Schizosaccharomyces pombe: one gene and its partner. The protein of the gene in region 1 binds, or shares a complex with, the protein of each later gene. Each region holds a gene or a part of one and is shown on either strand. Other genes may lie near its edges. A codon is read from its position in the direction of its gene.

Evidence for each region. The genes of interacting proteins can lie anywhere in the genome.
Region 2: the proteins of dpb4 (region 1) and dpb3 are in contact, whole or in part, in a crystal structure (PDB 5Y26), measured with the Schizosaccharomyces pombe proteins. Residues at the interface, in NP_595521.1 of Schizosaccharomyces pombe: Leu12 (codon at 1,595), Asp14 (codon at 1,589), Leu15 (codon at 1,586), Ala16 (codon at 1,583), Leu17 (codon at 1,580), Pro18 (codon at 1,577), Ile21 (codon at 1,568), Ile22 (codon at 1,565), Leu25 (codon at 1,556), Val26 (codon at 1,553), Val29 (codon at 1,544), Leu30 (codon at 1,541), Pro31 (codon at 1,538), Lys33 (codon at 1,532), Ser34 (codon at 1,529), Leu35 (codon at 1,526), Val36 (codon at 1,523), Gln37 (codon at 1,520), Glu39 (codon at 1,514), Ala40 (codon at 1,511), Ala43 (codon at 1,502), Met44 (codon at 1,499), Asn46 (codon at 1,493), Ser47 (codon at 1,490), Ala48 (codon at 1,487), Thr49 (codon at 1,484), Leu50 (codon at 1,481), Phe51 (codon at 1,478), Val52 (codon at 1,475), Ser53 (codon at 1,472); in NP_001343092.1 of Schizosaccharomyces pombe: Lys3 (codon at 1,163), Thr4 (codon at 1,160), Tyr5 (codon at 1,157), Gly6 (codon at 1,154), Lys7 (codon at 1,151), Val9 (codon at 1,145), Leu10 (codon at 1,142), Pro11 (codon at 1,139), Arg14 (codon at 1,130), Val15 (codon at 1,127), Arg17 (codon at 1,121), Ile18 (codon at 1,118), Ile19 (codon at 1,115), Gln21 (codon at 1,109), Asp22 (codon at 1,106), Val25 (codon at 1,097), His26 (codon at 1,094), Tyr27 (codon at 1,091), Cys28 (codon at 1,088), Ser29 (codon at 1,085), Ala31 (codon at 1,079), Ser32 (codon at 1,076), Leu34 (codon at 1,070), Leu35 (codon at 1,067), Ile36 (codon at 1,064), Val38 (codon at 1,058), Ala39 (codon at 1,055), Thr40 (codon at 1,052), Glu41 (codon at 948), Leu42 (codon at 945).

Annotation. Positions count from the first base shown.
Region 1 is NC_003423.3:1,284,170-1,287,770, reverse strand, and holds dpb4 (DNA polymerase epsilon subunit Dpb4), read right to left. Parts: upstream 1,826-3,601; 5' UTR 1,629-1,825; coding exon 1,456-1,628; exon of another isoform or gene 1,324-1,455; coding exon 1,205-1,323; intron 1,167-1,204; coding exon 826-1,166; 3' UTR 650-825; downstream 1-649. Other genes in the region: AP-endonuclease Apn2, read right to left, coding at 1-365; mRNA-decapping complex subunit Lsm1, read left to right, coding at 2,687-2,750, 2,799-2,867, 2,916-3,031, 3,109-3,282; pig-A family phosphatidylinositol N-acetylglucosaminyltransferase subunit Gpi3, read right to left, coding at 3,446-3,601.
Region 2 is NC_003421.2:682,924-685,996, reverse strand, and holds dpb3 (DNA polymerase epsilon Dpb3), read right to left. Parts: upstream 1,321-3,073; 5' UTR 1,170-1,320; coding exon 1,050-1,169; exon of another isoform or gene 949-1,049; coding exon 805-948; 3' UTR 501-804; downstream 1-500. Other genes in the region: pgl1 (6-phosphogluconolactonase), read right to left, coding at 1-96; sts5 (Dis3L2-like 3'-5'-exoribonuclease), read right to left, coding at 2,435-3,073.

The sequences.
Region 1 (3,601 bases):
TCTTTTGGGAAAAATCCTATCTTTTCATGCTCCGGTGCTTCTGAATATGAATATTTTTGTCCTCGTACTGGCAGGATGCCAGTAATTCCCTCTTCTGCTTTCACTGGAATAGCAACATCTTTTTTTACATAAAATCCAACCCCACTATAGCCTTTTCTGATCTTAGGAAATGTAAAATAACTGTCGAATCCCTCAACAACTGCATATTGTTGAGGAAAGCTGTCTTTCTGCATTTTCAATTCTTGAACACATATTACATCAGCCTGTAACTCTTGAAATATCTCTTTGTAGGAATTTTTTTTATTCCATGGAAAATAATTGAATGGATTCTGTATACCGTTCACATTCCAACTTAGAATTCGCATTCTTATAATTTTTACGTAGAGAAAGTGTGCGAAGGTAAAGGCGACAGACTTTTGAATTTACAATTGTTGACATAAGTTAATCTGATGGAAAATAAAATGCATTTGTTTAATTCGAGAATGAACTTTTTCTTTTCTTTTCGACCTTCTCCCTATTGAATGTTGATTTTCAAAAAAATTCTAGATTGACTAATATTGAGTTACAACTGTAAACAATCTAATGATTCTTTCTAAATATATGTCATTAAACGAGTATACATGTTGTGCTAGAAAGACATTATCTCAAACTGCTGTTTAAAAAAGCTATGTTTGGATACAAGGATGTAAATTGGGGTATTAACAGGTATCCAAAAAATCCATTAAAAAATAAAGAAGGTTTAGTTTTTCGTGTAAAAAAATATGATTAGCTCTCCATGTAAGTTAGGACTATTGACAATCTTCATATACATTTAACCAACAGTAATTACGAAGAATCATTAAGTTGAAGAGATTCTTCTGAGTCGGATTCAGAGCTATCTTCAATTGGGTTTCCCGTAGCATCTGTAAGATGAATGGTTTCTATTTGAGGAGATTCTGCGTTTGCGTCTAATGTATCATTCACTTCTTCGAGGTCCTCCACATCATCAATATTTTGCTCAACTTCATTTTGTGCTATATCCTCCGCAATTCGTTCTTCTTCTAATTCGTCTTTTTCTTCATCTAGAGGAGTAGTGTCATGCGCGTCTATTTTGGCTTTCTTTCTGTTATCAACATCTGATACGTTAGGGAGTTTCAATCGTTTTTCTTTCAAGGCAAGCTCATATGCTTTAATAGTTAGAAGAAGTACAGAGTAAGAAACATACCTTCGAGATGTTTTTTTAACGTTTTAGAGAATTCTGGATACTCAATTTCATCGAGCGCATTCAAAACGTCTTGAGGCATAAGAATTTTTCTGTTATTATTCGTAGCAATTTCCCCAGAACTAAGTAACGTTAGTCTTTATTCATTCATATACAAAGTGTTTCCAGAAGAAAATAAAATTGGCAATTATATAATAAATTCTTTCATCATACAAGCCCTTCAATATGGTTATATAGTTATATAGATTACATACGCGGATGTTAGAAAACTAACAAAAAGAGTTGCTGAATTGATCATAGCCTTGAGAGCTTCTTTTTGTACAAGACTCTTTTCAGGTAAGACACCTTTGACTAATCGCATAATGATCGATCGAGGAAGCGCCAGATCATCCAATTCGGAAGTTTCTTTCGATTTATCTTGATTCATATTGATTTTCCAGCCGCTAGATCTTTTACAAACGCTGTATACAAGTCTTTTATAAATCCAATCCAAATATCATCCTATGGTCACCAAACGATAATCACAGAGAAAGGCGGTTGCTTCTTTTTAGCTAATTAATGTATAATAAATTCACTGAGTCGCCTATTTCTGTCAATTTTCACTAAACACTATCTGTGCGTTATGAGCAGAATCCGAGAGAGCCTTAGAGTTGAAACATTTGTAGAAATGCTATCAAATTTCTTAAAACTAAATAGTTGTACTGTTTTGTTTATATTAAATGAGTAAAAAAAAAAGTTTTTTAGCGTTGTTAGAAATAAATAAAGCTTTTTGATAACCATACAATACATTATTAAAGGCTCGATTTTTGATTGTAATTAATAGATAAAAACAACTAAATTTATTATCTTTTTTCAGAACACTCCAAAAACGTTCAATGAACGTTCTAAGAGAATAATAGGCAATCTCTTCTCAGTCGAAATAGCTCAGAATAGGGATATTACAAATGGGATTGGCAACATTTTTACAAGTTCGATTTTGGAATTGATAAAAATCATCAAATTATTTATTTCTGTTCTTCGCAAAATGTTGAGCCTTTCAATGAACTAATCCGCTTATGATGCTGAAAAATTGTTAGGTAGCTTGAGTATAATTAGATTCCCTTTTTACAATCTGTGATCAAAAATATACATGTTTTTGTTCTTTAATTTTTGTGAAGACCGACTTCCCTTTATAACTAGAAAGTCAGATTACAACATTCAATGATGGGCAAGTTTAGAAATGGAAAAACCAAATAATTTAATTTACAATTAGCAAAAAAACATAACAAACGAATAACATTTAAACTTCAGAAGCACTTTTAGGGTTAAACAGGGAGAATTTAGGATTCCAGATTTGACGACCTCAGAGCACTTGCTTCTAACCATCTCCTCGAACTCGTTTTTTAAGGAAAACACTCAAATAAAGTCATCAGGCGTTTATAAAAGAAATAGAAAGTTAAATCTAAATTAAATTATTAGTTTATGCTACATCCAAATAATAGCTGAATGAATCAAGCTACACAGATTATCCCATTCACAACTTCTGGGTCACTTGTTGACTACGTAGACAGTACGGTGTTTTTTCCAATGTTTTCCTTGATCTAACTTTACCTTTTAGGAAAAGTGATTGTTGTTTTACGAGATGGAAAAAAACTGATTGGAATTTTAAGGTCCTTTGATCAATTTGGTATGGTTTGCGTGAATAGGCGCATAAGTGAGTTTACTAACTGTGTAGCAAATTTAATGTTGCAATACACGATTGAGAGGATCTATGTGGATGATATGTACGGGGACATAGACAGAGGTGTGTATATTGTTCGGGGCGAGAACGTCGTGCTTTTAGGTGAATTGGTAAGTTTCGTTTGTAACATAAAATATTCGAGCATCTTTATAAATTTCTTTGAACGTGGGCTAAATATTTCGAAAAGGATTTGGATAAGGAGTATGATGCAGTCAAACAATTGCGACGTATGCCTGCTGAAGAACTGTATCCTTTGGCGAAGCTTCATGAAGAAGAGAAGAAGAAAAATATACGTGAGAAGGGCAAGTACCTTCATTCTGTAGGCTTTAGTGTTGACGGCGGACATGATGATTTGTATTAGACAACGGTTGAACAAATTTATCACAATATTGCTATACCGTTTGTTTACAGTCACGATAGAAAGCTATCTCGACCGCTGTTTATTCCCCTTTTAAATGGATGTAATGTAATTTTTAAGACATGAATCGTCATAATCCCATTACCGTTCGTTCAAAGTTTAGTAATCATTGTGCATCTTTTAAACATGCAGTTTTTATCTTTGTCTTTTTTTTGGGGTCCGTTAATACCAGAGATTCGTCAAAGTTCTGCTTAGAAATTTTGAAAGTAGAGGATACGCGGTCAACCGCTGGGTCAATATCAGATGCTGGCCAAATCCATTC
Region 2 (3,073 bases), on another chromosome or scaffold:
GCCATGCCTTTTAATAGAAGCTTCACTTTTCTCTTTAACGAATGCACCAAGTGCCTTTGCAACTAAACTAACGTCTGAAAATGAGTAAACCGACATTTTTTCTACTTGGTTCTGGTTTGCTTTCAGTATTTGCGCAATTGTTAGTAATGGAGTAGTATTAACGAAACAAGGTGGAGTGTCGTAATTCATTCGGTAGTCGGAAATTTAGAACAGAACAAATCTTAAATCAGTTTTCGAGTATAGTAATGTACGATTACGGCATTATCACGGCAAGGTAGCGGAGGTATAGAATATAACCATGAAGCAAGCAATACGTCTGCATCGCTGGGATTAGATAAAGAAGCTCGACCTTCTCTGCATTTTTGTTTAAATAAATGAACCAAATGATATTGAGAAAGGAATTAAATGAAGAATATACAGATGGGCGCTGGTAGCTTTTCAATATCTTTCAATCGAGTTCAAACGTTTAACCATTTCCTAATCATTAAGATTGTTTATAGATGTAGCTAACAAAGGCCGCAAATTAGTCATGATTGAAACATGAAAAATCAGGTAACCCAATTTAAGAGAACATGTGTTCTATTTTATCCAAATAGCTACAGTAGTTGTTTGATAAAGCTGTTTGAAAATGCGCATTGTGGATAAAAAGACACAAGAGCATGAAAACGAAGAAGAAAACTCAAATAAAATTCATTAAATCACATTTTACTGACAAGATGATTGTTTCCTTTCATTTCATGAGGAAGTTTCTGAACAAGAAAGGAAACACTTAAGCTTCCGTTTTCCAGTTCTCACACTTTTTAATTATATAGAAAACAAATCTGATAAAAATTCAAATTGATCGTCCTTACGTACAACGTCCTCAACGTCCCTGTATCGTATTCCTTTACGTTTTTGTAATTTGGCAAGTTGATAAGCCTCTGTTGCTAACTTTTCAACAAATAATTCCTAAATCATAAAATAGGTAAGCTTTTATTTTTCTTTTTCTTTTATGCAATCAAAATGGTGCTAAGTCGCCCAGATAGCTGATTTATCAACAACACACATACAGTAGCTACTGAAATTAACAAAGCAGATGCATTAGAACAGTAGTGTACGTCTTCATCTTGCTTTATTATCCTCTTTACTCTGCTCAATGGCAATACAGTTTTCCCATATGTTTTCTCCATGAATCAATCCTATCGACCGAAACAATTTAAAGGACTGGAAAAAAGCAATTATACCCTTAAACTATAAGGTTCTAATATAAAATAACCCAAAATCTCTAGTGCTATAAAAAATTATAGCCTTCTGATTTCTGACTTTTAGTGTGTTGTTGTCAAAATACGAAGTACTCTCGCGTCGCGACCTAATAATAAACATACTTACTTTACCACTAGAACCTTACATTGTTGTTTAACTTGAAACATAAATATTTTTAACTTTTTTTCTATTTTTAAAGAGTATTTCATTTAGTTCTCATAATTTCTAAGACTTTGTGGATTAATAATTTTTTATAATCAGTATAGCATGCGTATACATCAAAATATACTCGATATCGAGTTAATACACTTGGTAAACAAAAGCCGATATAACAAGGCAGCGTTAAAAATGAAAAATAGTAATCACTAAGAATATTTGTAGAATCCTTTTCTTTTTAATATCTTATGCCGTTTTCATATCATAAAATAGGACATGAGTAACTAACACATCCCGGATACGTTTCATAACTATAAATTTGAATATTTTGTGTAAGAAATGAACTTAAATTGCAAAAAATCAACTGAAAATTGCTAAGATGTCGTCCAATAGTAGATTCATTTTAAAAAAAGAAACAAAAAATAAAAGACTCAGCTAACCCCAAACGACCGATAAGAATCCACTTCTGATTGCCTAATCGCCGCAGTGATTGCAAACGCAAACGACACTTCATCTACTGGTAAGCCAACAAAGTGACATGTATCAATATAAAAGCAGGATTTCATTTTTGAAACAAAATCCAATCTAATGTATAAAAAAGGAAAAGTTCAAGGTATCATCAACTCATGCACTCATAAAATCACGTATCGAGACTACTGGATTCCTTCATCCAACTCTATCATCGTGAACTATCGTAATCAAGTTTAATCATCCTTTTAGTTATATAACATAAAAAATCGGCATCTTAGTGTATAAGATTAAACCGAGTTTTCGAGCTCCTTGGCTATGCAAAACTTGTAAATCTCCAGAAACAAATATTAGACGTAAGTAACAGCTTCGTCGAAATTAAAGAGAAAAGTAAGAATGGGAAAAAATGCAGTTTTAGAATCGTAACATATTTTTTATCAACAATGCCTAATAATAAGAGCAATAATATGAATGAGAATATAAAGCCATTCCAGGCATCCGAAAATGAACATGTGTCACCAAAAAACACATACATGAAATAAACATTGCAAACAATCGAAGTTCAACATCAAAACTCGACATTTGAAACGTTGATAAGAGGTGGAGTCGAAAGCTGCACAAAGAGCTTAACTTTGACAGAGGTCAACAATTTAACAACTGTAACGGCTCCGCTCTCGTCGTATAAAGATAAAATGCCCTGGTCCTCTTCAAACCTTACGTGGGTTAGATTGAGCAAATCTAAATGAACACGTTTCTCCATGCCTAGAGATGGGAAAAATACGTCAAAATATGATGGAGCAACAAAACATACGAGACCGTCTTGCCAAACCTGACTCTCCGCCCAGTCACTAAATATTTTTATATGAATGCTAGTTTCTTGCGCAAATTTGCTTATAACCAGACGACGGCTTGCATCGTTTGCCGCTTGCGACCATACACGAAGGCGCTTTTCAGAAGCCAGTTCTCCTCTCAAAAGCAACTGCAGTTGATAATGAACTACAATATCACCATAACGTTCCAAAGGTGCTGTAAAATGTGTCAAATCGTCACTTTCGTCCTCAATACCAAGACTCATCATCTGGGAAGCGAGATTGCCTTTATACTTCTGCATTTCATAAACTGCTCTTGGGGTAACCTTATAATAATAAAGCTGCAAAATGTTACGAACAGTATCGTCTTCGATCAAACTTAAAGAGCGTAAAAGTGA